Alligator mississippiensis: one gene and its partners. The protein of the gene in region 1 interacts with the protein of each later gene in a pairwise test. Links are inferred from orthologs where the notes say so. Each region holds a gene or a part of one and is shown in the gene's direction. Other genes may lie near its edges.

Region 1 (7,650 bases):
TGGTCCAGGGATTCTACCTTTTATTAAACCAATATTTGACACCAAACTCAGAGTGGAAGCCTGCCAGCCACTTTGAATGCATGCACTGTGGCTGTCAGGCTGCAGGCTCTGTGCTCCGATGGACGATTGTGTTTCTGGAAAGGATTTGACAGCAGTGCCTTTACATCTCTGGACAAATGAGCAAACACCGGGCTCTAATACGAGGAATAAACAACCCTCCCCTACCAGGGCCCCTGAGGCTCATGGAGTGCAAAGTATCCCTGCAGATGTCAAACTACCAGGAAGAGCAGCTGCTTAATAAAATGCTGATGGCAAGAAAGTGGAGACTGCTCGCTGTCCAAAAATGAATGGCAACACACCCCTTCACTGGGCTCCTGAGCATGGCCAAGGCAGGAGCCCCACCTGTTCTTCCTGAATCAGCTCTTGCCGTGGAATCCTGGTGCCCCCTGTTGGTCCAACAGCCCATTCACCACAAGCAAAGGAGCTTGGTCAGGATGCCAGCACAGGCTGCCTTTAGCAGAGAGAAGCAGAGCTGTTTTGTGCCACACAGGTGATTCTTACCTCTTCACAGCAAGATTGCTCTGTATTAATCCTCTGGCATGTCTTTTTCCTAGCCTGACCATGCAGGTGGCTGGAGTTACAGGCAATGATGCACACTACAGAAAGTCTCATGATAGCAGCAGTTCTCTTGTCACAAGGGCCAGACTACAGGTGACATGTGAGTTCCACCCGGTTCATGGCCTGATACAATCACATTGGTTAAATCCTTGATTTCCTCAGTGGTGAGCTCTGGCTACACTGATAAATCTTGCTGAAGTCAGTAGACTTGCACCTCTCCTTGGTGTTTTAGGGTTGTTAGTTGTTCACTTCATAAATCTACTGGATACAAAAAATCATGGACTAAATATAGGCAGACAAGGTTCTTTGGGTAAATCTGATGTCTTTTATTAGACCAACTCAGATAAAATAATCTAAGAAAAATAAATAATATAATAAATCTAATTTGTAAAAAAATAATTTGCATTTGAGGCCAAATTAGCCAAAACTAATTCCACATCCAAGAATCCGGAACCATAAACGGCCCTACTACCAGCAAACATTCTCCACCCATACCTGGGGCCTCAGATGTTTCCAGATCCTTTGGTGGGTGTCCTACTTGCAGGTCCAAGCCCGGAGGCTTGGGGTTCAGATGCTGCCGAGTTTTGCTTGCCCTTAGCCATAAGCCCCTCGGAGTAAGCAAGGGATGAGTCTCCCATTTCCATAAACTGGGCTTAAAGCCACTACATCTCAGTGGGTACTGAACCACGCCAGAAGAGCAGTTGCCCTGTGGGGTGGTTCAGGAAAACTGCCTTCTTGGACACAGATGCATGGTATTTCACCTGCCAGGTTAAGAAGCCACTGCACTTATCCTGAGCCCTCAAGAGGCCTGCACTTGATCTGAGCCTTTAGTACTCTAAAAAAAATCTAATAAAAATAGTCTAATAAAAGATACTAGATTTACCCAAAGAACCTTGTCTGCCTATGTCCTTAAACCAACGTGGCTACAACCTATATACCCTTGGACTAAATATAGACATTGGATTTATGGCACGTTATAACTTGGCTAACATTTGATAACCCCAGGTAACCTGTCTTCATTTTACCAGCTACATTCTATCACCAGTTCAACATTCCCCCTTTCCTCCCTGCCCCAAGCTGTCTCCTACCTATTGTCTCCCATTCCCTCTGATCCTCACTGCCACGCATTTGCATTTTCACAGACCTGCATTTTGCATTTTGGCTTCTCTTCTGTAGGCTGTTCCTGTACCATAGAGAGACCTGTAGGCTCTCTCTATGCCTGAAGAAGGGTGTTTGTGCCCAAAAGCTTGCAAAGAACAATTTTTCCAACTACCTAGTTAGCCAAATAAAAGATATCACATTTACCCAAAGAACCTTGTATCCTAGGTGTTACATTTGAAGGATTTTCCCTGTAAGCAAATGAGCCAAAATGTTTTCCTTCCTGAAGGACGCTGGAGCACAGTGATGTGCCTGCAGTACTCCAGCAAGACACAAACCCAACAGCTTCCAAACAGCTGGACAGTTCTGCCTTCTAGAAACAGGAAACGACAAAGCCCTGTAATTGCAGGCCCTCTTCCCGGCTGCAGTGAAGAATAATGCCACCCTCCCCCCCCCCCCCCCCCCCGGCCTGTCATTGCAGAATGAGTGTCTAGGCTCTGAAGCAGAGAAGCTATAATTTGGGCAGCTGGCTGGCTTCCAAATCTATAGCTTTTAAGCTTTCTGAACGACATAGTACAGGACGGTCTCCAGGGGGGCTTCCATCTGCTCCAACCCATTATCCCACTTCCTGGGGAACGGTAGCCAATTGAAACAGTTCTGCCTGCTCAGCAGGTATAGCAGGCTTCTCTTCCACCCTTCCCCCCACCCTCCTGCTCTCTGCACACAAAGGGTTGGAAGATTTCAACCCTTTCTCAGATTTCTTTCTCTTCCCGGTCTGCATGTCTGAGGTTTTAGATGGTTTCCGGGTTGTTGCTCTGCTGTTCATTTTTTGTCATCTAGTTTGTAATAAATTGTTTCACAAAAAAACCCCAGACTTCAGTGCTTCTCAGAGCCACCTTCTTCCCCCACCCTCTTAAAATTATCCACTCCCATGAGACCTACAAAATACTTGGTGGTGGCTCTGCACCTGGCATGCTGTGATTGCTGTGTTTCTTGTGCCTGCCTGCCTGTTTGCTGTATCCACCAGATTTTGGAAGCTCCATAGAGCAGGCACCATTTCTGTTACATTGGTACAGCACATTGCTGGGCAGTTAATGGACAGTTAACATTAACTGGTCTCTGGCAGTATGTATCATCAGAAGGACTAGAGTTTGTATGGACTGTGGTTATTGAACAAGCCCTTTCTCTTTTGGATAGGGGCGGTTTCTCCAGAATTAGGGTACATTAGTGAAGGATGATTTGATGGATGCTTATGTTGCAGAGGTAAGGGAGGGACGACTTATTTCTCTGGGGTAAAACAGGCTTATTTCACCACCAGTGGCAATTTCACTAAAAAGCTGAGTTTTGACCTGCCTACCTGGATGATGATTTCTGCATTAAACTTTTCTGTACCTGTTAGGTAGAAAATGAATCCTGATGCTGTGAGTCTTAGTTTGTGGCTGGTGACACAAGAAGCTGGTTGGTAAAAGGCACCATTTGGGTGCCAGGAGGCACTGAGTAGACTGGCTACCACTGGGCTTTACATAGCAATAGGTAGAACTGGTACAGCTTTGTGGGCAAGTGGCAGTGAGAAGATTGATTGGTACATGGAGTGGGTGAAGCTCAATATCGCATGGCATTGGATGGCATGCGTCAACGGGTTGCTGTGAGGTGGGGCCAGGAGCAGGTGGACCCTCAGTGGCAGGAGGCTCTGTGCAGGTAGAGCATTATGTGGCTCCGGGCGGTGTTCAGTGCTGAGTAGCGTGAGGAGCCCTTTGGCAAGCATGGCTGGGTGACTGAGAGAAGTCAGGGTACATTTGCACCTAACAGACTAACAAAGTCAGTGATGCATCGCCTTTTGTAAGTAGTGGCTGACTTCATCAGATGTTGGGAAGGGACTGCAGGAAGCAGAGCTTCCAACTAGAAAGCAGCTGTTGGCATACAAAGGGGAGGGGAGAGGAAACCCAATAGGAGGGGGCACTGCTGGCAGAGGCAAGCTGATGCATCTCTGATGTAGTAGTCTACAAGGTGCATCTCTACCTTGCCTTTTGCCTGACTTCAGATTAACACGGCTAGTTACCTCCCTCTGCTCATGGGTGATTGGGCCAGTGTGTGGGTGCTTAATGTTAGAACGGGTGGGGCGGCACTCGCCATCTCAGAGGCCTGAGTGCTTGTTGTTGTCAGGGGCCTGGCATCAGCAGGAGGCAGGGAGAGAGGCGCAGTGCCCCTGTCCTGGAAGAGCAGGCACCTCTGGCGGGAGGCAGCATAGGGCCCAGTATCAAATACACCAGGGTGGCACTGGGAGCAGGTAGCGAGCGCAGGGGCTTGTGCACGGGGCTGGGGGTGCAGGGCACATCCCTGGCTGTGGCTGGCACTGCCTGGGTACACAGAGAGTAACCCTGGATCACGATCCTGGCTCCCTAAGGGCCCTCCACAGGCCCCGGCCCCTGGAGGTGCGGGACGAGCAAAGCTGCCTCCACCCCTGGGGCTGTGCCAGCTGCCAGCATCAGCTACTCCCTTGCCAGCAGTGCAGCTCCTTCTGCGCATGCGGAGGAGGCGCGGAGGCCAGGGCAAAAACTGCTGCTCCCAGAATGCCGCTGGGAGGACGCATGCGCCGTGCAGCCGGCGACGCCATCTTGCAATCTGAGCCGCAATCGGGCAGCCTCAGTGGCAGCGGTAGCGGCTGCGGCAGCAGCGCTCTCCTCCTCCTCCTCCTCCTCCTCCGCGCCTGGGTCGGGGCGGCGGCGCCCGGGCCGCGTCTCCCCGCGGGGCTCGGCCGGGGCGGCAGCCTCCTGCTCTGAGCCGGGCGGGGGCAGATCGGGGGTCCCCGGGGCGGGGCCCGGGTGGTTTGGGGGCGGGGCCAAAGGGGTGGGGGCGGGGCTAGGGGGGCTGGCAAGAGGGGGTGTCTGGCCAGGCGGGGCATGGGGGAGCCCGTGTAGCCGTGGCCCAGGGGGGTGCATGGGGCTGGGGTGGCTGCGCATTGCCTGAGCCAGGGGAGCCCCTGGGGTCAGGCCTGGGGGATCCCCACTCCCAGGCCTTGCGGAGGCGCTGAGGGAGCAGTCGGGGCTGGAGAGCGTCTGCGCGCAGGTCTGGGCTGCAGCCGGGGGCCAGGCGCCGGCGAGGAGGATGCGGGACGCCTGCCGCATCTGCGCCCGGGAGCTGTGCGGCAATCAGAGGCGCTGGATCTTCCACCCGGCCTCCAAGCTCAACCTGCAGGTGCTGCTGTCCCACGTGCTGGGCAAGGAGCTGTGCCGCGATGGCAAGGCCGAGTTCGCCTGCAGCAAGTGCGCCTTCATGCTGGACCGCGTCTACCGCTTCGACACGGTCATCGCCCGCATCGAGGCGCTCTCCATCGAGCGCCTGCAGAAACTGCTGCTGGAGAAGGACCGCCTAAAGTTCTGCATTGCCAGCCTGTACCGGAGGAACAACGGCGAAGAGCTGAGCCCTGATGACAAAGTGGGGGATGGCACTGTGGACCTCTCGAGCCTGCCCGATGTCCGATACGCGGCCCTTCTGCAGGAGGACTTTGTCTATTCCGGGTTCGAGTGCTGGACGGAGCACGAGGAGCAGGCCTCAGAGTCACACAGCTGCCACGCTTCGGAGAGCGGGGCTAGCCGGCCCAGGCGATGCCGGGGCTGTGCTGCTCTGCGCGTTGCGGATTCTGACTACGAAGCCATTTGTAAAATCCCGCGAAAGGTGGCCAGGAGCATCTCTTGTGGGCCTTCTAGCAGGTGGTCTGCAAGCGTGTGCAATGAAGAGCCACCCATAGGCGAGCTTGGAGCCACTGAATCACCCAATGCCAAAGTACCTGCGGATGGAGACAGCATGGAGGAAGGGACTCCCGGGTCCTCCATTGAATCCTTGGACACCACTGTGGAGGTCGGCTCTTTGCAGCAGAAGGAGGAGGAAATGGACAAAGGTGGAAAAGGCAGTGGGAAGTGCGACTGTTGCTCCGATGATCGCACCACTCTAAACTCTTCATTAAATAGTAATAGGTTGGAGCTAGCTCTTAGCCTGATCAAAACCTGTGACTACAAGCCTGTTCAGAGTCCCAAAGGCAGTAGGTTACCTGTTCTAGTGAAATCCAAGCCCAGCCACGACACGATGGATGGAAGTCCTCATGCTGGTTTGGTGACGACTGGTTCTGGATTCCTGAACGCAGATGTGAAGTCCTTTTCCCGACCTCCTCTGGGCTTTCCCTTGGAGATGTCAGACCTGCAGGAGTTGTGGGAAGATCTCTGTGAGGAATATATGCCACTTCAGGTTCAGGTACAGGTTGATGAACAACACTGCAATTTAACAGAGGTCCTGCCATCTTGGCTGAGAGTCCAATCTGGATTCAGGTGTGCTGGGATAATACAGATAGCCAGTCCTATCTGAGCAAAAGGCTAGGAATGGGTAGCTAGGCCCTCCAACCGCTCTCCTTATACACACCTCGTCCCTGTTCTCTGACATTTCCATGGTATTCTTTTCCTGGTGTGTTTGAGAAATGAGCCCTCCATAGGTTTCTAGCATCTTGCCTCTTAAGTTTCCCTGAATCAAGGATACCAGCAAGGTTTGGCTGATATTTCCCCTTTTGTTTCTTGTTTCCAGCCAAGCAAACACCAGTTTAATTTCTCCTCATTACTTTCTAGGGAGTAAGTTTTGAATCTGTTAGTTTAAAGGGTGTAGTTTAAGCTGCCAAATGCTTCTTTAATAGCAGTTCAGTTTTTATTTGGCCTTTGTAAGTTATAAAGTTATAATTTGTAACTGATCTGTTCTGGAGTGGTAGGAACTGCTTTTTTTGCAGGCAGAGCTCCAAAATCGAATGCTCTTTGTCTCTCCCCAGTTTTCCCGATTTGCTCAGCCCTCAGGAATACCGTTATGCTGTTGGCAGTGAGGGTGTTGTCTTTGCAGATAGATTTGCTCCATTGGGTGACTTAAAGCTAGCATTCTTGGTAACTGATCCTTTAAAAAAGATTTAACAATCAGTAGCAGTCACTGCTGAGAGCCTGTGAGCTTTTGCAGGAATTTCAAACATTTTAACCATCTGCATAGATTCCAGGTAACATTTACCTCTGGATTTTGACTGCTTTTTTGCCTGGCTTTAAAATTCTTGCTAATATATGATCACAGGCCTGCACCTGTATTTCTTTTTTCACTTCTCTTACCACCCATTAAAGTCTTATGTCAGCTTTAATTCAGCAATATTTATGTCAGTCTAATTGTCTTGGCATTAGCAGGTTTAGTGCTGTCTAATTTTCCAGGTAGCCTCAGGGATTAGAAAGATACTTGTTTACTACAGAAGCAACTGTAGCTCTATTGGGTGATTGTTCTCCTTATGCAGTGAGTTGTGCTCATTCTTTTCCAAGCTCTGGCATTTTCCAGGGGTGTGTACTTTTTCCACAACAGCTTTTAGCATGAAAACGTGCTACGGAGGAAGCCAGACTGACGGAAGCTGACAAATTCCAAAGCATAGTCTGATGATCCATTTGTCACCGGTAATTGAAGATTTGCTGACACTACCTAGGGAACCTTAAAAAGTGAAGGGAAAATGCCATCATCTCTGTGTACCTTGTTGCCTGTTTTTTACCATTACAGACTGATATACCAAAATAGGGTCTTTCTTAACGCACAGGTTTTCCACCATTAGTTCGTATGGTGATTACATGACATTTCAGTTGTATCACGCATCTTAGCATCTTCATTGCGTCTCAGAATTACTTACAAAGGGTTTCTTCAAACCCCAGCCTCTGTCATGTGTTTGTCTTTCTGGTGAATCTTACGCTGAGTTTTTCATTTCCTGTTTCTTACCATGGCAACAAACCCAACACAGAATGATGTCTTCAGTGCTAAATCTGGCATAAATCGAAAGCACTCATTCCACTTTAACAGAAGGATTGGAGAGTCAGAGTTGCCAGTAAATAGGTCTCATATAAATCCCAGGCCTTGGCCTCACCTCTGTCCTTATTGCGT
Region 2 (7,757 bases), on another chromosome or scaffold:
GGGGGGCAGGCACGCAGGCAACTCCAGGCCCCAGGGCACCACCAGACCAACTCCACGCCCCCCTCGCTGGGGCATGAACATGCACACACTGCCCCCTGCTGGCCAGACAGGGCGCATACCCCACCCTCCCACCCATGGCTGCCAGAGGGCTGAGAGACAGTGATCAGCAGGGAGCCTGATTTTCTCTGATAAAAAAAAAAAAAAAATCCTTATTTTTCAGATATAAAAAAGTAATCCAAAATCCACACTTTTTCCATGATTAAAATGAAACACCACTATATATATCTATATCTATATATTAATGGAGTTTCATTTTAATCACAGAAAAATGTGGACTTGGGGTTACTATTTTTAACTGAAAATTGGGGAGTTTTTTTAATCACAGAAAACCAGGATCCCTAGTGATCAGGAGTCCCTCAGCCAAAAAAACTCCCCAGCGTTGCAGATGCCCATCCAAGCTGAGCGGCAGCCCCTGCTGGCTCAGCCTCTGAGCACATAGGGATGTATCTGCACCCTCAGGCCTTGCTGAGCTGTGCCCTTCACTGCCGCTCTCTAAGCCCATCTGTACTAACCCAGGAGCTGCATGGAAGCAGCGGGCTGGATCCTGCCGGAGACACAGTGCCTGGGATCGGGCATGGTTCAGGACCCTACCAGTGCAGGCAGGGCCCAAAGGGTCCCCAGGGCACTACTAGGAGGTCGCTATGAAAATAAAAGGGAAGGAAACCCTAGTTATTTCCTCCAGGTTTTATTAGAGATCCAGGGATGAGTACATGGCAAGAGGGGCTGGTTACAAGCACGGGCACCAGAGCTCGGCTGGGCCCCTGTTCACTGAGGAGGGTCCCCAACCCCAGCGTGAAGGTGAAGGAGACGGGGGAGGGGGGGGTGTGTCTCACCCCTGAAGGAGCCCAAGAGATATGTTCTATGCACCCTACTCCCCTCCTGACACTGCTGCCTGCTGTGGTGATCACGTACCCCCCTGACCAAGAAACCTTCATCCGTGACCCTTAGCAGGTCAGATTGGGGTCTCCCTGCCCTTGGTCCTGGTGCCAGTCAGCAGAATCCAGTAAGGGACCCTCTGACAGCAAACTGGTGGAAAGTGATGAAGAAGTTCAAGTTCAGGCCCTGGCCCTTTCTCCTAATGCCAGGCAGCTCATGAGTGGGGAGGGAGATGGGTGTCAACAGACCTGCTGTGGAGGGCCAGAGTGGGCCGGCAACGGGCACTGGTCCAGCTCCCACTGGCCTAGTGCCTGGTAGAGACCAGGGGCCGGGAGGCTGGGGACCAGGGCTGGGGGACATCAGCAGGGGGTGCTGACAGGGGACCGGGCATCAGGTCTCCTCAGCTGAGACCCAGCAGGTGAGGGGGCTGGAGGGCAGTGTGGAACTTGGCACTGCCCCCTCTTGCCTGGTGAGGGGAGAGTGGGGCAGGTGGGGCGAGAACATAGGGAGCCCCAGCAGGGATAGGGCAGGGGGTCTGGCGGGTAGAATCTGCCCACAGGGCTGAGACAGGGCAGGAAAGGCCACGTGGGAACAAAGCAGCATTGTGAAAGCCCTTCACATGTGTGTCACGCTCACCAAGACCCGTGCATCAGGATGAAGGTGGGGGGGAGGGTTTGGCCCTCCAACCAGCTCCTCCGAAGGCTGCAGGCGCCACCAGTGCCATGGCCCAGTAGTCCAAAGCCACAAGGATCCGGGGAAGTCAGAGCTTGAAGATCTCATCCTCCTCATCCCGCAGCACAGTAGCCCGCAGCGTCTTGGTGAGCGGCACTGGGCCCAGCAGAGAGCGCTGCTGGGTGCGGGGCGAGGGCTCGTTCCGCCCAGGGACCGTCCTACCAGCTCCCGCCTCGGCCCCGGACATGCTGGAGGGGGGGAGGAGAGGCAGTCAGAGCTCCCCATGCCTTCTGTTGGCTCTTCTCTGCCCCCCACGCCCACATCTCTCTTCTTGCACCCCCGCCAGCTCCAACCACTGCCCCATGCTGCCAGTTGGGAGAGAACCTCCCTGCCCCAGAAAGCATGGCTGAGGTTCAACCAGCTGCCTTGATCAGGAAGGGCAAGGCTCTCTGATGCACTACAAACCTCTGCCTGGGTCCCAATGTCCCTGCCTGCTACGATCCCCTATTAGTGCCCCCAGACCCCATAGATAGCTACATCCCCCCACTGCAAGTCTCCCTGGAAAACCATGCGGCCATAGCAACACAACAGGATCTCCTAGGCAATGGGGGGGCAGAATGGGGACCGCTGCAGTCTCAGCTGGGGCGTCTCACCGCATGTCACACAAGAAAAAGGGAGGGGATGTCGTGTTTCTGCTCTGCCCCACACAGATACCCCTCGAGGGCAAGAGCAAGGTGCAACCCCAGCCCCCTGGGGTGCAGGCCCCGCCCCCTCATTTTTAGTTTCTGATGTTATCAATAAATATCATCACCCCACACTTCCCATCTCTGCCCCACACCCTCTGTGTGGCTTGGGCTGGGCTAGCCCTAGAACTAGAGCCCCCTGGAGGGGAGTGGGAGTCCCGTATACTCAGGCACCAGGGGAAATGCCCTCCTGGGTACTTCTCTGAGGTGGCTTTAATTCCTCCTGCCCCATGGAGCGGTCCAGGAACCCCCACCCCGTGCAGGAGGCAAAGAAAGAGTCTCTTAAAGCCTAGCCAGCAGGTGGTAGGTTCGATCCCCAGCTGAGACAGCAACGCGAGAGCGGCACTCACGCGATCTTCCCTTCCCGCAGCTTCTTGGCTGCGGCCTCCTTGGACAGGCTGATCTGCGAGTCCAGCTGGCGCAGGAAATCCATGGCTGATAAATCGTGGCGGAGGCCAGAACCAGCCCTGGCTCCATCCCCATCCCGGGGCTGTGACTCCGGCTGCTCCTCACCCTCAGGGGGCTGCCTGGCTCCTTCCCCCTCCTGCAGGATCAAGCCTTTTGCCCGCACCTGGACCGGGATGTACAGTGTCCGCTTGAGGAAGATGGAGTCGTTGGTGTAGAGCCGGTTGGCGCGCTTGATTTGCTCTATCTGCGAAGAAGCACATGCAGGGTTAAGCTCCCATCAGGCGCCTGCCCCATCCCACTACACCCTGCTGCCAAAATGCAACCACTTCTGGGGCTGAGCACACCCATGAACCCAGCCAGCCCTGTGGGATCCAGCAGAAGGAGAGGGCAGGGGGAAGGATGTGGGAGTTCACTGAGAGCGCGAAACTTGGACCATGACCAGCTGCATGCAGATGGCAGCACTGTTGTCAGTGGTCCCAGTCGGGCTGGGGGCGAGGTTTCCACTCCCCTGCTGGAGCCCCAAACCAGGCTGGCACAGAGACTGGGATACAAAGCACCCCAGAAACCCAGGGGCAGTGGCAGGAGCAGTCCAGCAGGGGGCAGCACATGTGGGGCAGGACCCTGCCAGAGCTGCCCAAGCTGGAGGGCCTGGGGCTGGCCCAGGGCTATTTCAGATCCCATGAGTAAACAGAGTCACATGCCCACGGCCTGCCCAGACCTCCACCCCAAGCCAGCTGAGTCAGATGGGAAGGGAAAGTGATCCCTTGTGAGAGCCGTGTGAGGACCGGCACGCACAGAAAGTGCCAAAGGGGAAAGGAGAGGAGATACAGAGGGAGAGTGTGTGAACACAAGTGTGTAGGCGTGCGGGAACATGCGCACGTGTGGGTTGACAACACATGTGTGTCCACACAATCAGGACCAGGGGATGCATCAGGAAGAGCATCTCCTGCATTCGTGTGTAGGAACGAGCCACCCCATATACATGCGCTCCCCCCACACGCAGAGCGAGGTCGACGAGGCACCTTTGCTATAGGGAAACTGAGGCACAGAGCAGGGACGAGCCCTGCTCCAGGTCACAGGGACGCAGTTCACGGAGCAGCAAAGACGCAAGGAGACCTGATCCCCAGCAGGGCCCAAGACATCCCGGCGACAACACCCAGGAGTCCCGGCTCCGGGCCCTGGCACTAACCCCTCGGCCCCGCTGCCCTCCCAGCACCAGGAACCCAACCCAGGAGGCTCCCCGGGGCCTCACCGTGACCCCGTAGCGCAGCGCCAGCCCCGGCAGCGTGTCCCCCGGCGCCAGGCGATGCTCCAGCCGCCGCTCCCGCACCGGGGACGCCGCCGACGTGACCAGGCTGCCGTAGGAGCGCGCCCGGCCACCGTGAAGCAGCCCCGCCGCCCCGGGGGACCCCGGCCTGGCCGGTGGGGAGGCCATGCTGGGGCAGGACCCGGGGGGCAGGTGCCAAAGGGGGTCACAGCCCCGGCCTGCACCTGCCTCGCGCAGGGCAGCTCATGCCAGGGCCCCTGCCAGGGGGAGCAATGCTCCCAGCCCCTCTAGTGCCCCCACCCCTGCCCCATGCCCCCCTGCCCCCTTTCTAGTGCCCCCACCCCTACCCCATGCCCCTCTGCCCCCTTTCTAGTGCCCCCACCCCTGCCTCAATACCCCCTTTCTAGTGTCCCCTACCTAATGCCCCCACCCCTGTCCCCTTTCTAGTGCCCACACCCCTGCCTCAACGCCCGCTACCTAATGCCCCCCACCCCTGCCCCAGAGAGCGCAACGCTCGCAGCCTCGCAGAGCAGAAGAGCGGAGAGCAGAGCCACACACGCAAAGCCCTCTGGGACACGTAGTCCTCCTCCCCCTCACAAAATGGCCGCCCCCAGAGGGGCGGGGTGAGGGCGCTAGGACTCCATTTCCCGGCGTGACTCGGGCGCCGCCTGCGGGTCCCAGGTTGGCGCGGGCGAGCGCGAGGCAGGCCGGGAGCTGCAGTCCCCGCCGCGAGGCAGGCCGGGAGGCGCCGGCCCGGAAGTGGGGGCCGAAGCGGAAGAGGGCCGGTCTGCCCGGTCTACGGTGGCTGCGCGGGTTCAGCAGCGCGGAGCGGAGTCGCGGCCGGGGCGACATGGCTTTCAAGCGCGAGGGCGACGATGTCAGCCAGCTCCGTGTGCTGCAGGTGGGCGGGGCCTGGGGTGACCCCGGCCCCTCCCCACCCCTGCCCAAAGACCCCCGCACTCCCCTCTCCCATCCCCGCCGCCCAACGGACCCCCCCAGCCCCTCCCCTAGCCCTGCCATGGGACACCACCAGTTCCTTTCCACCCCTCCATGCTGCTGAGGGACCCCCCCCCGAGCCCCACCCCAAAGACCCTGCTCATTCACCCCCCCAGGCCCCCCCACCTAGGCCTGCCCCTCCCCCCCCAGCACACCCTGCCCCCCCAGGGTCTGTGGGGCTGGGGGCAGTTCGTTGCTCCTCCCTCCCGGGGGTCTTTGCTCCCTTGGGATGGGGGGCTCGTGAGGCCGATGGCAGAGGTGAGGGGGACCCACCGCCGCGTCACAGAGCCCCCTGGGCCTTGGGCTGTCATTGCCCCTCCAGAGACTGCCTGGACTGCGCCCAGGTCTGGGAGCCGGGGCCGGGAACACGGTGGTCACAGGGGTCTTGTCCACGGTTGTTGCCTCCTCCCCGTGTCCAGCTGCCTCCCTGCCCTGTGCTGCAGCATCCCCTGGGCCCAGACCGTCGCTCCCGTGACACCAGTCACTTCTGTGCTCGAGAGAGGAGCGGTCCAGCGCATTGGGCCTTAGCTTCATTCAGGCCTGTCAGGCCCCCTCCTCATTAGGGGTTTCTTGCAGAAAAGGAGAGTGTCCGACCTGCTGGCCAACTACATCCCGGAGGACGAGGCGCTGCTGCTGAGGACTGGCAGGTGGGTCAGGGCCGGAGCAGCCCCAGGGCCGGCAGAGGAACCCAGCCACAGCCCCACTGGGGCCAGGCCGCCAGCCTGTGCTGCTGTTCGGCTGCTTGTCTGGGTCGGGCTGCACAATTAGGGTAGGTCTCAGCCTCGTTAGACCCCAGGCCCCTCTCGGAAAGTCCCAGGAAGTCTTGGTTTATCCCAGGAGGCCACGAAGTCAGTGCTTCTGGGCTTGCTCCGGGAGAGGCACTTCTCTCTGCAGTCTCAGTTTCCCCCAGCTTTTAATTGAGGGTAACGAGACTGTGCGGGAGGGAGCCTGATCCGTCAGTCCTGTAGTGAGGGGTTAGGACACCAAGTTCTCTTCCCTCTGCGGTCGCTGAGCCCCTGCCTTTTCCTCCCAGGTAAAGACAAGGGTGGGACGGAGCGAGTCCCATGGGCTGTGCTGCATTGGGGAGCTGGCCGTGGTTATGGGTATGAATGCCCCAGAAAGGAGCCTGGCATGTCTCCCCACATGGACCCATGTCTCCTGCCCACTCTGACCCTGTCTCCCCCACAGGTACGCATGCACCGTGTGCTTCCACCGCCCTGTCTTCGACACACTGGACATGCTGACTGTGCATCGCGCCGGCAAGAAGCACGTTGCCAGTAAGGCAATGCTTGGGGGCACTGAGCCTGGGGGCACCGGGCCAGGAGGGCCCTGCCAGGGCAGCAGCCCCAGCCTATTTCATTACCAAATCCCTTATAAACCCGCTAGGCTCCACTGGTTCCGCTGACCCGGTCGAGATAGCAGAACGCCAGGCCAGATTTCCTGGGCGTTGGCAGGTCGGGCAGTAGCCATCGGGGTTGGGGTAAGGTCAGGTCCTGCTGGGGGCAGGGGCTGGATTAGACCAAGGGTTTCAAACTCTCTTGGCCCATGGGCCAAATCAGGGGCTCCTCTGAGAACCACACTGATGCAGCTTATCCACTGCTCCAGCCTCATATCACAGCCGTGGTCTGCACCCCTGAATCCCCAGCCCTTCTGGGAGCCCCACAGGCCAGATGACCCAGCTCCACAGCCTGGGTCTGACCCACAGGCCATATGTTTGGCACCTCTGGATTAAACCGCTCCTGGCTGCCTGCCCTGCTGTTCTCTGCCTCTGACAGCAGAGCCCTCCTAGCACCTCCACAGCCCCAGGGCTCCCACAGGCATTTCATCAGGGCCAGCCCTCATGCAGACTGCCATGTGCCATCCAGAGAGCCCAGCATGTCAGAACTGCCTTGTCCAATTGCTTCAGCTCGAGACCCCCCCATGCTGGCCCTGGTCTGTGCCCCCACCGTGAGCCTCCAGCTGGGTTGAGCTGGGCTCTGCTCACCCAGGCCCCTGCCTCCCCCTGTCTCTAGGCCTGCAGACCTTCTACGGGAGGAAGCACTCACGGGAGAATGAGTTACAGAAGTGGCAGCAGCAGGAATTCCTGCGGGCAGAGGAGACGGGCACACAGGTAAGCCCCACACGTGGCCCTGCCTCCCCCCCCCCACCAGTGACCCCAGCCCCACCCTCACCCTGTCTGTGTTCTCTGCAGGTCCTCCCATGCCCTGCACCCCTGCTGACTCAGACTCGCGCCATCACCCAGAGCGCCCTGCTGAAAGCCACTCCCTACAGCAGCTGCTGCCGGAGGAACAGGTAGGGCTGGGGGATATGTGCCATGGGCGGGAGGCTGCGGGGAGACCTGCTCCCAGCCTGGACAAGGCAGCTGCTTCTGGGAAGCACCACCAGCTATCCCATTACCTCCTAGTAAGGGTGCTGTTACACCGCCTGCTCTAGGGGCCCAGTCTTCAGGTGTGCTCTGCTGACTTATACCAGCTAAAGGTCACACATGAGAGAAACAGCGCAGGGAGGCTGCTGTCTCCCCCTGGCCTGCTTTGCATTAAGATGTCACCTGGGAGAAGGGAGTGAGATCCAAGGGTCACAGAGTAGGGCAGAAGGCCAGGTGTTGGGACTCCTGGGTTCTTTTGGCAGTGGGGTCCCCATAGGAGGAGTCGTGGCCATGAGATACTGCTGAACAAGGCCTTGTCTCCTCCTGTTCCAGGTGCGATGGAGGCCGTGTGGGAGCACAGCCGGGGCCT
Region 3 (7,758 bases), on another chromosome or scaffold:
CAGCAGTTGCACAAAATTGATAATGTCTATGTTTGCTCTGAGTAATTAAGTGGTATTATTGCAATCAGTACACTACCTCTCCCTTTCTCTGTCTTGTGTGGTTATTATACGTACTCCTTTTGTCTCCCACATTAATTTAGGTCACAGCTCTACAATTCACTGACCAATGATGGACTCATGCTAGTGTGAATCCAGGGGCAGATCAGTGCAGTGGTGAGGTTATACCCGTCCCCCTTTTGGACCATGCCATGAGAGCAGCAGCTAGAGACTTTTTAAAGTTCCCAAATCAAGAATTATTCCCCCTCCCTTTCCCTCCATACTCAGCAGCATGTCCCTTTCTCTCCCATTCCCAAAGTTTTTTACTCTTTTACTTCCCTTCTGTTAAGCAACTAATTATGCTTACACACCAAGCTCACCAAGAGAGCCATGAAGTGGGCAGCTGTCCTATTAAATAAGTCTTCAGATGACAATATTAATGATTCTGAAAATGATAAATAAAATTAACAAGTGCTTTCCTTAAAGTTCAGTAGAAATAAGGAAATTCTAAACCATCTATAAATATATATAAATTATCTACACCACATCAGCAGGGAGCCCCAAGAAAGGCAGGGGTGAGCTTGCCCCACTCCAATCCACTGATGTGCTACTATGTGTCATGACCCAAGGGTATGATTTTGTGTGTGCTTCGGCACTGCAGAATTATTTCCTGCCACGAGGAGCTTTCTTTGCATGGTGCAATTCTCAGTTGCATAGAGAAAACCCTGGTGCAAAGGAGTTCCCGCCATTCGCATGCAAATTTGTGTCCCACTATTGGCTGTTTCTAAATTATTCCCACATGGCGGCTAGCAATTGGCTTGCTAGCCGTATAAGAGGCTTGAGCGGTTTCCGCCTAAGTTGGAGATCTCCAGGGAGGACCTCATTTAGGAGGACTCCACATCCATCTCGTGGAGAACTCTAAGTGCTGTGGAGCTTAACAAACCCCGCGTGTGCCTTAGAGGAGAATACAGGGGCCTGATCAACCTCTAGCCTCTCCCTGTCGCCGCCTAATCCCTCGACGTACCCTTCCCTGTGCGCTTTTGGTCCACGGAGCCTAGCAAACTTCGTGTGTGTGTATCCAGAGCTCTTTCCGGGTTTAAGAGGCTCAAGTTTTCTACGGGTCTTGTTCGAGCGAGTTTTCTTTTCATTTGTAACTGCAACTTAAGCGAAGTTTTTCCTGCCTGCACCGCGACCATCTACAGTGTAAGTAAAATAATCTTTAATCAACCGCTACACATCCGTGCCTAATTCTAGTCCGCCGTGCCGAATTCCCCAACCCACGTGCCAGGGCTGCTGGCCACAGTCCGCCGCGCGCCCCTGAAAGCCTCGGACTGCTCCCAGCCCGCACACAATGCTCAGAAGGTTTGTCCCCCAGTGCTGTTCCAGACTTATCTTAGTGTCTGCCAGAGACAGAGGACTCAAGAGCGGACAATCAAAACCAGCCCAGAAAAGCCTCACTGGGGAACTTTTGGTCCACATAAGTGGACTCAGATGGGCTGGGGAATATTCAAACTCTACTCGTGATTGCATGACAGCAGCAAAAATAGCAAATGAAGCCCTTTCTATAAAGCTAATGTTGTGCCAACATTTTTTAAAGGATTAAATGGGACAAGCCATTATAAACTTGTCAGCCTGGCTTTGATCCAGACAAAATAATGGCACTGTTAGTATGGAATGCAATTCATAAATAATTAAGGGAGGATAATACAATGGCTGCCAGTCAACCTGAATTTATGGGAAATGGATCCTGTAAAATTCATCGGATATTCTGTTCTGATGAGATTGCAAGTTTAACTGATGACGGTAATAGCATTGATGTAATATGCTCAAGAGTATGTCAAGTGCATTCACTTCTAACTGCACTCCAGTTATACATAAAGTAGTGGTTCTCAACCTTTTTGAAGAGAAGGCACCCCTCACTGGACTCAAAACACCCCTCCATATGGTATTTCCATTTTAAAAGCTAATTTATATAGTGCAGTATTTCCTTCCTTGCAGAGGGACTGGGCAGTAGTGGTGGAGGACTGGCCAGGTAGGGACAAATCTGAACCTGTGCTTATCTGCTTATCTCCCCACACCTCATGGCACCCTTCAAAAGATCTGGGGACACCTCGGGGTACCCTTGTTGAGAATTACTGACAAAGTTAGCTTTATAATAGATAGCTTAGGTAATAGCTAGGACAGCATGACACACTGACTACAAAACTCACCTGAGAAGCTAGCTTGCACAGTGTATCATGCTTTCATGGATTATACTGCTAGTTGTTCATTAACTAGCTAAACTTAATATTAGCTTGGGTTACCTATAGGAGCTGCAGTTACAGTAATGAAAATCTGTAGACTCTAAGTCACTTACATTGTTATGGCCTAACACTTGGGGTGCCTATACACAAGCACGGAGGCTGCTCCAATGCATCGGATGCACTGCGCATTAGAGCGGACTCAATGCTTGGCAATTGCTATGCTCTAGTGGTCTCTTGCAACTCATGTATCAGCATCCCCACACTTAAAAATGGTGGTGGGAGCACTTGAACTATAGCTCATCGAATGAGCTTTAGCTACAGTGGCCCTGCCACTTTTTAAAAGTGGGGATGCTGATACAGGAGACATTGCAGCACCTTAATTTGTGCGGCTCTCAAAGCCACTCTAATGAAAGTGCCATCCCCCACCCTGCACATTAAAAAAAAAAAAAAAAAAAGATCCAAATACAGAACACCAATAACTAGATTCAAAATTGTCTGATATCTCAAAATGCATGTATGCACTTGCAATGGGGAAAACACGTTTGAATGACTGTTTCTAGAGAGGCTCAGCAGTGTTTGGTTTTTGGTTACATCACTTGTATCAATAACCTGTTACATGTCAGAGTTCCTTACATGTAGGAAGCCTCCCTTAGAGAGATTGGATTGGTTTTCCCTTATTGGCACAGAGTTGGTTATAGCCAAGGCTAGGGATTTTGACTGGGGTATGCCAGTGCTCCTGCTGGACTTACAGGGTCCTGGATAGACGGTCTTGCCCCTCTGCTCAGGGTCAGACCAATGGCCATATTTGGGGTCAAGAAGGAATTTGATTCCACGATCAGACTGGTGATGACTGGGTGGGTGGGTTGCCTTCCTCTGAAGGGGGGTGTGGCCCTCTACCAGGGACCTCTTGAGTGTATATTAACCTTTTCCACAAGCAGGGTTTTGGCCACTGTGGTCCCCCTGCTTTGCATGTGGCAGGTGAGCTTGTTATGTCTTGCATTGTCTCAGGGTCAACCGTAGTTTTTCTAAGAGGTTGGAGTATGGGTTTGCATAGGGATGGTCCTGCCTCAGCACTAGCACTAGATGACTTCTGGAGGTTCCTTCCAGCGCTACTGCTCTATGACAAATCTTAATTAGGAAAGGCAACACAACACTTCAAAAAGCAGTGGGTAGTGCAGTATCGAAGAGCAACAGTGATCAAAACAACATGTGTTTCAAGTCTCATTCATGTGTCTAGAAACAAAGGGCATTTATAGACATGTTCTGGGAGGTCCCGGCCCACCCTGCTTCTTTTTAAGCAGCTCCGGCGGCGACTCCTTCTGGTTTCTGGCTGCAACCACCGCAGACCCCCCCAAGAGTCAGAGTGTAATTCAAACCCTAGCAATCCTGAAGGCTGCTGGAGCATGTTAATTTCTGCACTCCAGCAGATTAATCGAGTTTGCTGCCACGCCCTGCATTTACGGCATATCAGAGTAGCCACCTTGCACATGTGTAAATACCCAAAGAGGGCAGGCTGCACTGAGATCTCCGGGGAGCATCCTTGCCAAACAGTACCATAGCAAGGCGGGTGGTTTGAGTGGAGCAACTGTTCTGGGTGCCAAAGTGAAGGGCGGGGCACAGGATGGAGCCGTGAGCGGCTCATTTGGGGGGGCACAGGGATGGGGGAGGGCAGCTCCTGCAGCTGCATGCACTCCTGGACAAGCATGGGGGGTGGCGCCCCCGGATCTGCGTGGTGGGTGAGGGCAGGCTGCTGCTGCGGGCTTGCCCTGGGCACCAAACGTCCTGGCTATGGTACTGTCTCCAAAACAGATGGTATAAAATCCGGGTTGGAAGGGACCTCAGGAGGCCTAGTCCAACCCCCTGCTCAGAACAGGACCGTCCCCAGCTAGATCATCCCAGCCAAAGCTTTATCCATCCTGGGTTTAAAAACCTCCAAGGATGAGGAGCCCACCACCTCTCTAGGAGCCTGCTCCAGCGCTTCTCCGCCCTGCTAGGAAAAAACTGTTTCCTAATATCCAACGTAGAGCTCCCTGGATGCAACCGGAGACCTTGTCCTGTCGTCTGCCAGCACCGAGACCAGCCTGGCCCCATCCACACGGGACACGGGGGCGGCGCTGGGTCTACCCCCGGGGGTGTCCCAGGGGCAGGTCTGCGCGGCTCGGCTGTAGGCGCGGGAGACCCTGAGGCAGAAGCAGGGGACTGATTTCCTCCGCCTTTCCCGGCAGCGCAGCAGCCCTAGCAAGGCGAGGCCGGCCTGCGAGACGGGTGCGAGGAAACAGGGCAGGGGGCAGAGGAGCCACCAGCAGAAGACGACGGGGCGGCACATCGGACACCGACCCGCCAGGCTGCGCGACAGGCGCGGGGCCCTGGACAAGGCGGGAGGGGACAACACCCCTTCCCCCGGGCCCCCCCGCGGGCTTCCCCCAGCGTACGAGACTCCCCACTGCGTCACGGGGCGGCGGACAGCGCATGCGCGCGGCGCCGTGGGCGGGGCCAGCCGTTGAGCCGCAGCTGGTAGCCTCATAGCGACGGAGCCAGGCCCAGCTGACGTCGCTGCTGCAGCAGTTCGCCCCGGGCCGCCCGGACGGTGAGTAGCGGCGCGCGCCGCCCCGCCCCGCCCGGACCTCTGCCCCCGGGCGAGGGGGGGGAGCGGCTCCCCCCTTGCCCTGAGAACGGCTCCCCCGCGGCCGCCGGGGGGCGGGGCGGGGCGGGGCGGGCAGGGGTGCCGCGTCTAGTCTTGGCGGCCCCGGCCGCTGCCTCCGCCTCAACCCCTCCCTGCTGGGCCGGGGGAGGCTGCGGTGTCGGAGCTGCGTGGCGGAGGGGAGGGGGGTGGTCTGGCTGGCTCTCTGGGATCCGGCTTTTTGTTGCCCTCGTCCCGCCCGCGGGCCGCAGCTCTGTGCCGTGGAGCGGTGCGTCACGGGCTGCTTGGGCGGCGGCGGCGCCCCCAGCCCGGCCCGGCAGGAGGCCCGAGATCAGCGCGGCCGCTCCTCAACCAAGAGCCCTGCTCCGCTCCCGGCTGTGTCCCGGGTCGGGCGGGGGCCGCAGCCTCCTACGCTAGCGGCGTAACGTTGTGTGCGCGTGTGTACACGCACACACATTCCCCCCCCCCTTGTATTTATATGTGTATGTACACACAAGATAAATCTCTGTAATCGCAAGGTTTATTTTGTGGGTATGTACTTGTATTTGTATAGATATATACATATAAGTGTGCGTGTGTGTAGGTAGATAGGTATCCAAGCCATAGCTGGTTTGGTTTAGAGGAAAAAGCAATCGGGTCTAAAGGAAAAAACAAGCTGGTGGCGGAGGTGATAATATCTTTTATTAGACCAACAAGATTTGTGCAAAAAAAAATTGTCTTTAATTGCAAGCTTTTGGGCACAAACACCCTTCATCAGGCATCGGAGAAACTTTTATAATCCTCTGTCCGAAGCCTGGTGATGAAGGGTGTTTGTGCCTGAAAGCTTGCAATTAAAGACAATTTTTTTTGCAAAAATCTTGGTCTAGTACAAGATATCACCTCTACCACGAGCCCTGATTGCTGTGTGTATAAACGTGTACACACATGCGTGCACATATCTACACAGACGTGTGTAGATATGTGTATGTGCATGTATAGAAAAAATATGAGAGAGAGCACAAGCTTTCCTGAACCCAAGTTCACTTCATCAGATGCTGTGAAAGAATGCGCAGGAAGTAGAGTGGGAAGAGAGAGAAATCAGAATATAGAAGACAAGAGGGGAGAGGAGGAGGGTGCCCAGTGTTTGAGAGGAGAGCAACAACTTGAGTGGGTTGTGGATGAAGATGCAGTTGCTGATGGCTCCTCACCCATGAATGCCCTAGCGTGAAAATGGTGGGCCAGGCACTGTGGTATCAGTGGTTCCTCCCTTCTGAGGGATTTTCTTCTTGTCTTCTATACCAGTGGAAATTTTGGCTTCAGCTGCAGATAGGTCGGGGCAGGTCAGTTGGAAGTCAGTCAACCTGCTCATCTATTGCAAGGTTTTGCCCAAAAAGAAGGCTTGTCATCTAGCAGGAAGCTGAAGTTCTAAAGATACTTTGTCACTGAGGATTTGTAGGCAAAGTGACAATTCAAACATTCAGGCTTCATATCTTTAATACATATCTCTTTGACAGAACAGGGGAGGCTTGTGAATTTGCTAGTTCTTGGAAGTCTCATTTTTCTAGCCTAACTCTGGGTTTCTTTGCATTGAAGTTTGAACTAGTAATTAATCTTTTAGGTAAAATATCATTTTTGATAGTAGTAGTTGAGCCAGTGGAAATGGAAGTGTACATGTGATTAGCTGTCAGTGTCCTACTTCTGTTCCTCCAGGTAAATTTTTCCCCAAGTAGATCATAGAAAAGGAAAAGGAACAAGAAAAAACTTCTCTAGCAGTCAGTCTCCAGACAAAGGTTATCAGAATTAAGGATCGAGTAATCTATATGAACGAGGAGCTTTCTAAGGGTGCTGGTGATTATTACCATTTTTCTCCTACCTGGTCCTGTTCCTCAACTCCTGTTAATGTTTACTTTTGTTTTAGTTTGTATTACCTATTTTATGCAAAATAAATAAGCATATAAATAATAGACTAAGATGACCTTCTACAAACTTGACCCATATGGCAGGGAAGGATCCCTTTCCTAGAATAATATAATTTTTATCTAGGCTAACTTTTGTCTCTGTGGTTTACTATTAAAAATTGCACCCTTTATATAACTCTTCTTTACATTATTGGAGATGTCAGGTTATTGGAATACCTATTACTACCTAAGATGCAACGAAATTCCTTATTAAAATCAGTTTTCAGTACCCCTTCCCCCCCTTCCCTCGCAACAGACTTACCAGCCTGACCTGGATATGCTCCTGGTCACCTGCGTGCTGTGCTGCAGCTACACGCATGTGTCATTTATCAGCCACATTGGTTCTGCATATCCCCTATGACCTTTTTAAGTACCTCTATGGGTATGATTACCCCTAGTTGACAACCACTGTCTTAATTAGTTTAGATTTATATATTGTTGAAGGTGGATGCATGTTTCTATCGCAGACAACTGATTTGCAAATCTGTTTAAAACGAGCATACGTTTTATAAGTAGCAGGAAGATTTATTTGGAATAGACAGTCCAAATGAAACTGATTTTTACACTTTTACCCCTCCCCACCTGATGAGGGAGAGGCGAGGAGGAGAGGGAATCATTCCAAGGCTGAAAATAGCATATGGAACAACAGGCTTTATTGCTATCCCTAATCCTAATTTCATTTAAAAATTGCTTTCTTTTAAAGAACTACCAATAAATTTGCCCCTAAAATTGTATATTACTCTTATGTAGAGCCCCCTGTTGACTTCAGTGGGGGTTCAGATACATGGGGCTTGGAAAAATTTTGGTTGCCTGGCCTGTTGCCATCCAGTTCCAGGAGAAGGTAGAGTACATTCACTGTACTTTCCATATGATCCCTTGGGGCGATGCATGGTTAAGTGAG
Region 4 (6,837 bases), on another chromosome or scaffold:
GCCCTGGGGCAGACAGTGGAAGGGAGAAGGAGAACAGTGATGAATGGATCAATTCACACCTCGGCCCAGGTTGTATTCAACTCCAGTTATTTAAGAACTTGTTTTGATGAATGAGGTCACTTCACACCTCCGTGATTCTCAGCACAAGAAGGAAAAGTCTATGATCTCAATGCAGCTGTAAGCCATCCCTGTGGCAGCAAATACAGCTGTCCCTGGCCCAAGGGAGAGCAAGGGTGATGCATGCAGATAAACGGGAGAGTATAATGTGGCACATTTACACATTCCCTGCATCTGCTTATTGTAGAGCAGCTGTGCCTGAAGCATAATTGCAGTATACCCCAGGAGGTCTTGCCAGCCAGAAGAGACAGGCTGTGAGGCACGGCAGACATGTCCTTAGCTCTGCATTTCCTGGTTTTCCCAGGTTTAAGTACAGATGCATTCTGGAAGGTGTGAGGCACCCTAGCTCTGCAATAACAACTCTGTAGAGAAGTGAACAATACCATGCATTTACAATCACCTGTCTTCTAAGGCTCCTAAAGTGTTTCCAACCTGGAATTGAATCCTCCAACCCCATATGAGGTGGGTCAGGATTGCTATTTCATTTTAGAAGTGGGGGAAAAAACCACAGAGGCACAAAGATTAACCATACCTCACCCAGAATCACACCCAGGTCAGAGAACAGACCTCAGGTCTCTCTCCTACCTGGAGGGCAAAAGTTTTACCAGGAGTCAACAGCCACAAGAGTGAAAGCAGAGCTCCATGCCATCAGCCCTATCAGAATGGCCCACATTGTGGGGACATAGCTGCTAAAGCTGGGGCAGGCAAAGTCTGGTGGATCAAGCCTGCGGCAGACTTCATTTCCCAGCAGCCCCTGCCTGCATCACTGCAGCCAGTTTCCATGGAGACCCCGGCAGGGCAGGACTGTGACAGCATGGGGCCAGGGTTTCCACGGAAACTGGCCCCAGCAGCGCTGGCAGAGAGCGGGGCTGGGTAGGGAGCTGCTCCGGGGCCAGGATCTTGAGCCAGCGACAGCGTGGTCCAGGGCTGGGACAAAACTATGACCTGCTGCCCTTATGCCCTGGGCAGGGGCGTGCAGGCAGCAGATCGCGGCTCTGCCCTGGCTCTGGACCACGCTGTCACTGCTGAAAGATCCCAGCCCCGGAATAGCTCCCTGCCCAGCCATGTGCTCTGCCAGCGCTGCTGGGGCCAGTCTCCATGGAAACCCTGGCCCCGCGCTGTCAGGATGCCACTGCTGCTGGGTAATGGAGTCCAGCCACCAGCTGGATCCACAATTTTGCTCAGCCCTATGCTAATGGGACCACAGCAGCCAGAAGGTGGTACAGACCTGTCCATATAAGCCTTTGTTAGCTGTTAAATAGCAGCCTTCTGTCTGCCCAAGAGATGAATTCACTCTGCCGGCAAAAGAAAAAGATTTTGATTCCACATAGCAGCTTTGAGTGGGGGCATGCTTACAGGAGGTAGAACTGAATCCCGCTAGCAAGATTATACAGCATAGACCGGGCTTGTCTGACCAGCTCTTCCTTCCTACCGCTAGTTCAATCCAGTTCAGTAGCACCATGCTGGGGAGACGACTGGAGAGAAGAAAGGTATAAACAGGAGAAAGAAGAGGCCTCAGAGCTGGCTTTAGCACTCCCAGCTAGAACAATAAGAGGACAATAATTTAACTCATTACGAGAGCAGAGTTCAACCCAACCAGAGCTACCAGCTACTGCAGCCAATATAAGGTTCTCTGCAAAGCATTTCACTCAGATAGCGAAACGACAGGCTGACCTTGGTTGCCCATGGTGGAGGCAGCTGTGTGGTAGGTCTCACAGTCGACACAAAACGTTCCTTGTTTCTCTGCTCCGAGCAGCTCCAGTTTCCTTGTCAGGATTTCAACCGTCTGTTGGACACTCTTCCCCTCTGCCACTGGCATCTGAGATACACTATCGAAGAGGAGTTACAGAAAAGAGTCAATAACCATAGATACCGAGACACCTTAACCAAGGCAGAATGCAATACAGCCAGACAACAGCGTTTTGCATCTAGAACAGAGATTAAAAGCCGACACGTGATGACCATTTGCTTTGTAAAGCATTTGGACGGTACTGTCAGCATTACTTTCATCTATCTTATCCGCTCACACTAGTGATTCTCAACCAGGGTGCCAGGGTACCCTGGGGTACCCTGAGATCCTTCCACATAATGTTAGCACAGTTGGTTATACAAACCCAAAGATTTCAAACAGACTTCCATGGCTGAGGGCTTTCTGAGTGCTTTACATTGGAAAAACTGCTCTATTATTTTCCCATGTTCAAGAAATGAAAACTAAGAGGCGGCACTTTCTAACGGGCACCTCTAATTTATCCAGGGATGCCTTGAGTCTAAAAAGAATGAGAACTGCTGCTCTCGGCTTCTCAGGGCAAGGACGATGCTACTCAGTGCCTTGTTCATGTTTGTGCCTGAAGCATTACAGTACTAAACACGACTAGCAAATGTAACAAACACCTCTAAAGGCTGTAAAAGGACCGCTGTGATCATGTAATCTGGCTTTTTATGCAACACAGGTCACAGAACCTTACCCGGTAACTTCTACCTTGCTGAACGACAGCAGCAGTTCCCAAACTAGGGGCTGTGAGGCCTTGGCATGGGGTCTGCCGGTGGGCCACACACACTGCTAGGTCCCACATACTTTTCTCATGCTTCCAGTGAAACGTTTGATGATAAACCTGCACTGCTAGCTTGCGAGAGAAATGGAGGATGGACTGCTCCGTGAGTACAAAGCCCTGAGCTAGATAGCGGGTCTTTTACAAAGACGTCCTGTCTCAGGTTAGAGACAGGTCCACAGAAGAAACCCTCGCTTCCAAGAGCAGGCAGGCACACCCAAAAGCCCCACGTCTGGCATTTTCAGTCCACTCCATGTCAACCCTGCTGTTCTCCACAACCCAGAAAGCCCTACAGACAATGGTTATTTGCCCTGCACAAAGTGCCACAGCGACAGCCCGATGCCATTCCTGCCGCCCCTATAAACATAGGACGAGCATCGCAAGGAAGAAGCCTCGGCCAGGCAGGACTGCTTCGCACCCGGCGTCTGCCCTGTTCCGGTGACAACAGCAGACACCCAGAGCACGACTTTGTCCCCAAGGCCATTTTGCCTTTTTGCCAAGGGGACCCTGCGTCTCTGTTCTGATACAGCGGCACCTCCGTGCCCCTGACGCCTGGTGCCATCACAGCCCTGTATTTGCAGCTGCGACGCTGACCTGGCTTGATCCAGCCTGATCTCTTGTCAGTTCCTCTCAACCCTGTCTACCTCCCAGCCCCTTGCTCACCAGGGGCCTCATCCCACTCCTCACCGCCTGCTCCCGGTGGTGGTACCGCAGGCGGGTGCTGAGTGGGGCCTGGATCTTCAGACCCCTGTGCATTGAGGGGCAGCTCAGCCTGCACCCCTCCCCCCATGGGGGGATCTCACCTGCCCTCGCCCCTTTGCTCCCTGCAAGCCTCCCCCCAGCCCGCACACATCCGGGGCCCTACCAGGTGACCCCCATGCTGGGCCCAGCGCTCCCGGCCAGCCCCTGCCTACTCGGGATCCTCTTTGCAGGCGCGGGGACCGCCTCTCCCGAGCAGGAAGCGGAGTTTCTAGCCCAGCCCCGTCCTCTCCCGCTGGAAGGGGTGGGAAGCCGAGTAGGAAATGATGTCAGGCGGCCAGAAGTGGGTGGGGAGGCCGAGCTACGACGCTGGGAGGGGATGGAGGGGGGGCAGGAGACAGGGGCAACCCGCTGCTGATGCGGGCAAGCGCGGGTTCCTCCGCCGCTGATCCGGGGGCACGTGGGCAGCGGACAGACGAGCAGCTGCCCTTCACACGCGGTTCAGTAGCTCACACCCGTCCCAGCTCTGGCCTACACACATCAGCCCCGTCTGCCCCTTGTAAAAAAAAAAAAAAAAAAAGAATGAAAAAAGAAAAGAAAGTAAAAATTGGGCGGCGGCGCCTTTAAGAGCGAACGTTCGGACACGCCTGTCGCAATGGTCGGAACGTTGAGAGTCGCAACGTTCCATCCGCGCCTGCGCGCCGCGTTGCTCCCCTCCGCCCACGTGTGCGCGGATCGCCATGCCGAAGGCCAAGCGGGCCAAGGGGAGCGCGGGGCCGGGGGAGGCGGTGCGGAGCCTGCCTCTGGCCGAGCAGATCCTGCAGGGCCAGGCGGTGCGGCCCAGCCGGAGGACGAAGAAGCGCGGCGCGGCCGCGGAGGCGGAGGACGAGTATGTGGATGAGAAGCTGTCGCGAAAGATCCTGGAGCAGGCGCGGATCCAGCAGGAGGAGCTGGAGGCCGAGCACTGCCCGGGCCGGGGAGCCGAGCCGCCGAGGAAGACCACGGTGTTGGGTGAGCGGGGCGGGGGAGTAGCTGAGAAGAGATGTCAACCCGATCCCCTTCGATCCCCCCCACCCTGAGCCCCGAGGGCAGGTCGTGGCGCTGGCAGGGGCACGGTTCTGCCTTCCAGGGGAGAGGAGGGCAAACCCTACACCACCCCGCGCTGTCCCACACCTGCCTTCTCATCCCTTTTGATCCATGCTCTCTCCCTATAGTGTCTGATCACCTTCCAGAGACGTTTAGGGCTGGAAGGGACCTCGTGGGATCATCGGGTCCAGCCCGCTCTGCTCTGGCAGGAAAGACATTTTAGTCTTCCCACAAACGCAGGTCTCAGCCCCCTGTGGGTCTTGTCTTCCGAGCAGCACACTGCAGAAGTAGAGAAGTCCTGCAAGAAAGTCAGGACTGAATCCCTGCTTCTTGATGTCCAGTCCCTGGCTTTATTCCCTGGGTCCTTGAACGTGAAATTCTCCCTGCCCTAAATCACCGTAGGTTGTTCCTGTCTATTGATAAACAGCAGCTGACCTAGGGCAGGGATGGGATGAATTCCCACTGGGATTGATTGATCAAGTATGCTCCTTAAAGACAAAAGGGGTGAGCTGTGGTTTTATGTTCCATTTTAATAACATAAACAGGGAGTAGGGAAGGTCAGACATGGACCGGACACCCCTCAGTACTCCTGCTACAATAGAGATCGTTCCCTACGTCAGACTCCCTTCTAGCCAAGCTCTGTAGCAGCCTGCATACATGCTACTGCTTAGCTAGCACGTCAGCCTGTTTTTGTCACTGTAGATGGTATTGCTGTGCGGTCAAACCTAGCAGATTGAGCTGAATGGATGTCTTTCTGTCATACTAGTGATGTTTTGGACTAGGGCCGTTGCTAGGCCAGGATGCTGTAGCTGTGGGACAAACCACGTTCACTGCAAATACTGACAAAGAGCACTGGAAAGAAATTATTTAGATTCTACCTTGGGAACTTGCTTCATGTATATGTGGCCATTAAAAAGTATAGAATCATAGAACATTAAAGTTGAAAGGGACCTCAGGAGGTCATCTAATCCAGGCCCCTGCTCAGAGCAGCACCTGTCAACCTAAAGTAATCCTCGGACATGGGAAATCTGAAAACCTTTTATTTGCTGTTACCTGGAACATCTAAGCTAACTGAAAGACCAAAGAGAAATATTATATCTTGTATATTAAAGTTGATGGGACTGCTCTCATGTGTGATGTCAAAGGTGTGTGTGAATGCATGGACCTGTAAGCTCAGCCCCTGAGGCAGCTTTCCCTGTGTCTGTGGGCATCCATCCTCAAACAAGGTTTGGGGGGTAAAAAAAGTGTTTAAAAATAGGGCAGTGCTATTGCAAAGCTACAAGAAAAGCAGGGGGAACGCGGGTGCAGAGGTAGGACTGGGAGCTGCTTATAACTCAAATCATTAGAACTTCAGATTGGCAGGGTCTCTCTCAATAATGATGTTGCGGTTCAGATGTGCTCTGTTTAATCAAATGTGGGTGGCAGTCCTCACTGTGTCTTCAGCCAAGGCCTGGCAGTCTCTGGTGCCCATCCGCTTGGGCTATTGGACTTCTTCACATTGACCTCTCAAACTACTCATCACTATAGAAGAGGTGATGAGAGACTATGGTATGGAGAGCTAACTGGTACAGCACAGAGGTGCTTAGTTTTCCAATTTGTCCAAGCCTAACCGTGCCTTGTTTGGTTTAGGATCTGCATCTCGCGATGGGGATTCCGATGCAGAGGACGATGACGAGTGGCCCACACTGGAGAAAGCCACATCCATGGAGAAGGAGGAGTATTGTGAAGAGGTGACAGTGAACCCTGAGGATGAGAGAGCCATCGAGATGTTCATGAACACGAATCCACCGCTAAGGTAGAAGATGAGCCTCTGAGCTGCAGTGTGGCACTTCTGAGCAGCGGGCAGTATCTTCTGCCACCATGCGGCACTGGAATAGGGTTAACATTTCATGGAAGCGCATGGATGGGGGTGGCTGCCTAAAGTGCTGTTCCCCACCTGTCGTTGGGGAAACTGAGGCATGGAGAATTGTCTTGTTCAAGCTCATAAAGGAAGTCTGAGGGAGGGCTAGGAACAGAGCCCAGGAGTCCTGATGGCCCCTTTCTGGGTGCCAAGCAGCAGATAGTACTCCATTTTCGAGAACTGATGCATGTGTGGCACAAACTCCCTGTTCCTAAATACTGTGTGCAGTACCTGAGATCAGGGCCCAGTTGTTATTGGGCAGTAGGCAGTCCCAGCCCCAAGATCTGGCAGTCTGAAAAGTTAAGACATGTAAAGCATAGAGGGGGAAACAAGTACAGATTCAGGAACTGACTTGTCCATGGTCCACAGTAGCCCTGTGGCAGATCTTAGACTAGAACTGGCGTCTCCTGAAACCTAGTCTGGGGCTCAGTGCACTAGAGCAGGGGTGGTCAGCTTGTTGTGAGATGTGTAGCCTCTGTTTGTGGC

What was found.
Region 2: the proteins of myomegalin (region 1) and SCNM1 interact in binary tests that used the Homo sapiens proteins (3 or more experiments, as listed by UniProt). The two-hybrid records come from large-scale screens. The link is inferred for Alligator mississippiensis from reciprocal best matches to the Homo sapiens genes PDE4DIP and SCNM1.
Region 3: the proteins of myomegalin (region 1) and SDCBP interact in binary tests that used the Homo sapiens proteins (3 or more experiments, as listed by UniProt). The two-hybrid records come from large-scale screens. The link is inferred for Alligator mississippiensis from reciprocal best matches to the Homo sapiens genes PDE4DIP and SDCBP.
Region 4: the proteins of myomegalin (region 1) and BYSL interact in binary tests that used the Homo sapiens proteins (3 or more experiments, as listed by UniProt). The two-hybrid records come from large-scale screens. The link is inferred for Alligator mississippiensis from reciprocal best matches to the Homo sapiens genes PDE4DIP and BYSL.

The regions. Positions count from the first base shown.
Region 1 is NC_081828.1:43,503,093-43,510,742, forward strand, and holds the start of myomegalin, read left to right. Parts: upstream 1-4,644; 5' UTR 4,645-4,821; coding exon 4,822-5,964; intron 5,965-7,650. UniProt on the Homo sapiens protein: Functions as an anchor sequestering components of the cAMP-dependent pathway to Golgi and/or centrosomes.
Region 2 is NC_081838.1:20,118,004-20,125,760, reverse strand, and holds the start of SCNM1 (sodium channel modifier 1), read left to right. Parts: upstream 1-4,753; 5' UTR 4,754-4,876; coding exon 4,877-4,927; intron 4,928-5,598; coding exon 5,599-5,669; intron 5,670-6,210; coding exon 6,211-6,299; intron 6,300-7,034; coding exon 7,035-7,132; intron 7,133-7,213; coding exon 7,214-7,314; intron 7,315-7,720; coding exon 7,721-7,757. Other genes in the region: LYSMD1 (lysM and putative peptidoglycan-binding domain-containing protein 1), read right to left, coding at 1,697-1,856, 2,702-3,003, 4,012-4,194. UniProt on the Homo sapiens protein: As a component of the minor spliceosome, involved in the splicing of U12-type introns in pre-mRNAs. Plays a role in the regulation of primary cilia length and Hedgehog signaling.
Region 3 is NC_081826.1:69,523,735-69,531,492, reverse strand, and holds the start of SDCBP (syntenin-1), read left to right. Parts: upstream 1-4,757; 5' UTR 4,758-4,866; intron 4,867-7,758. UniProt on the Homo sapiens protein: Multifunctional adapter protein involved in diverse array of functions including trafficking of transmembrane proteins, neuro and immunomodulation, exosome biogenesis, and tumorigenesis.
Region 4 is NC_081837.1:38,995,515-39,002,351, forward strand, and holds the start of BYSL (bystin), read left to right. Parts: upstream 1-3,831; 5' UTR 3,832-4,105; coding exon 4,106-4,376; intron 4,377-6,080; coding exon 6,081-6,246; intron 6,247-6,837. Other genes in the region: MED20 (mediator of RNA polymerase II transcription subunit 20), read right to left, coding at 1,792-1,946, 3,532-3,545. UniProt on the Homo sapiens protein: Required for processing of 20S pre-rRNA precursor and biogenesis of 40S ribosomal subunits. May be required for trophinin-dependent regulation of cell adhesion during implantation of human embryos.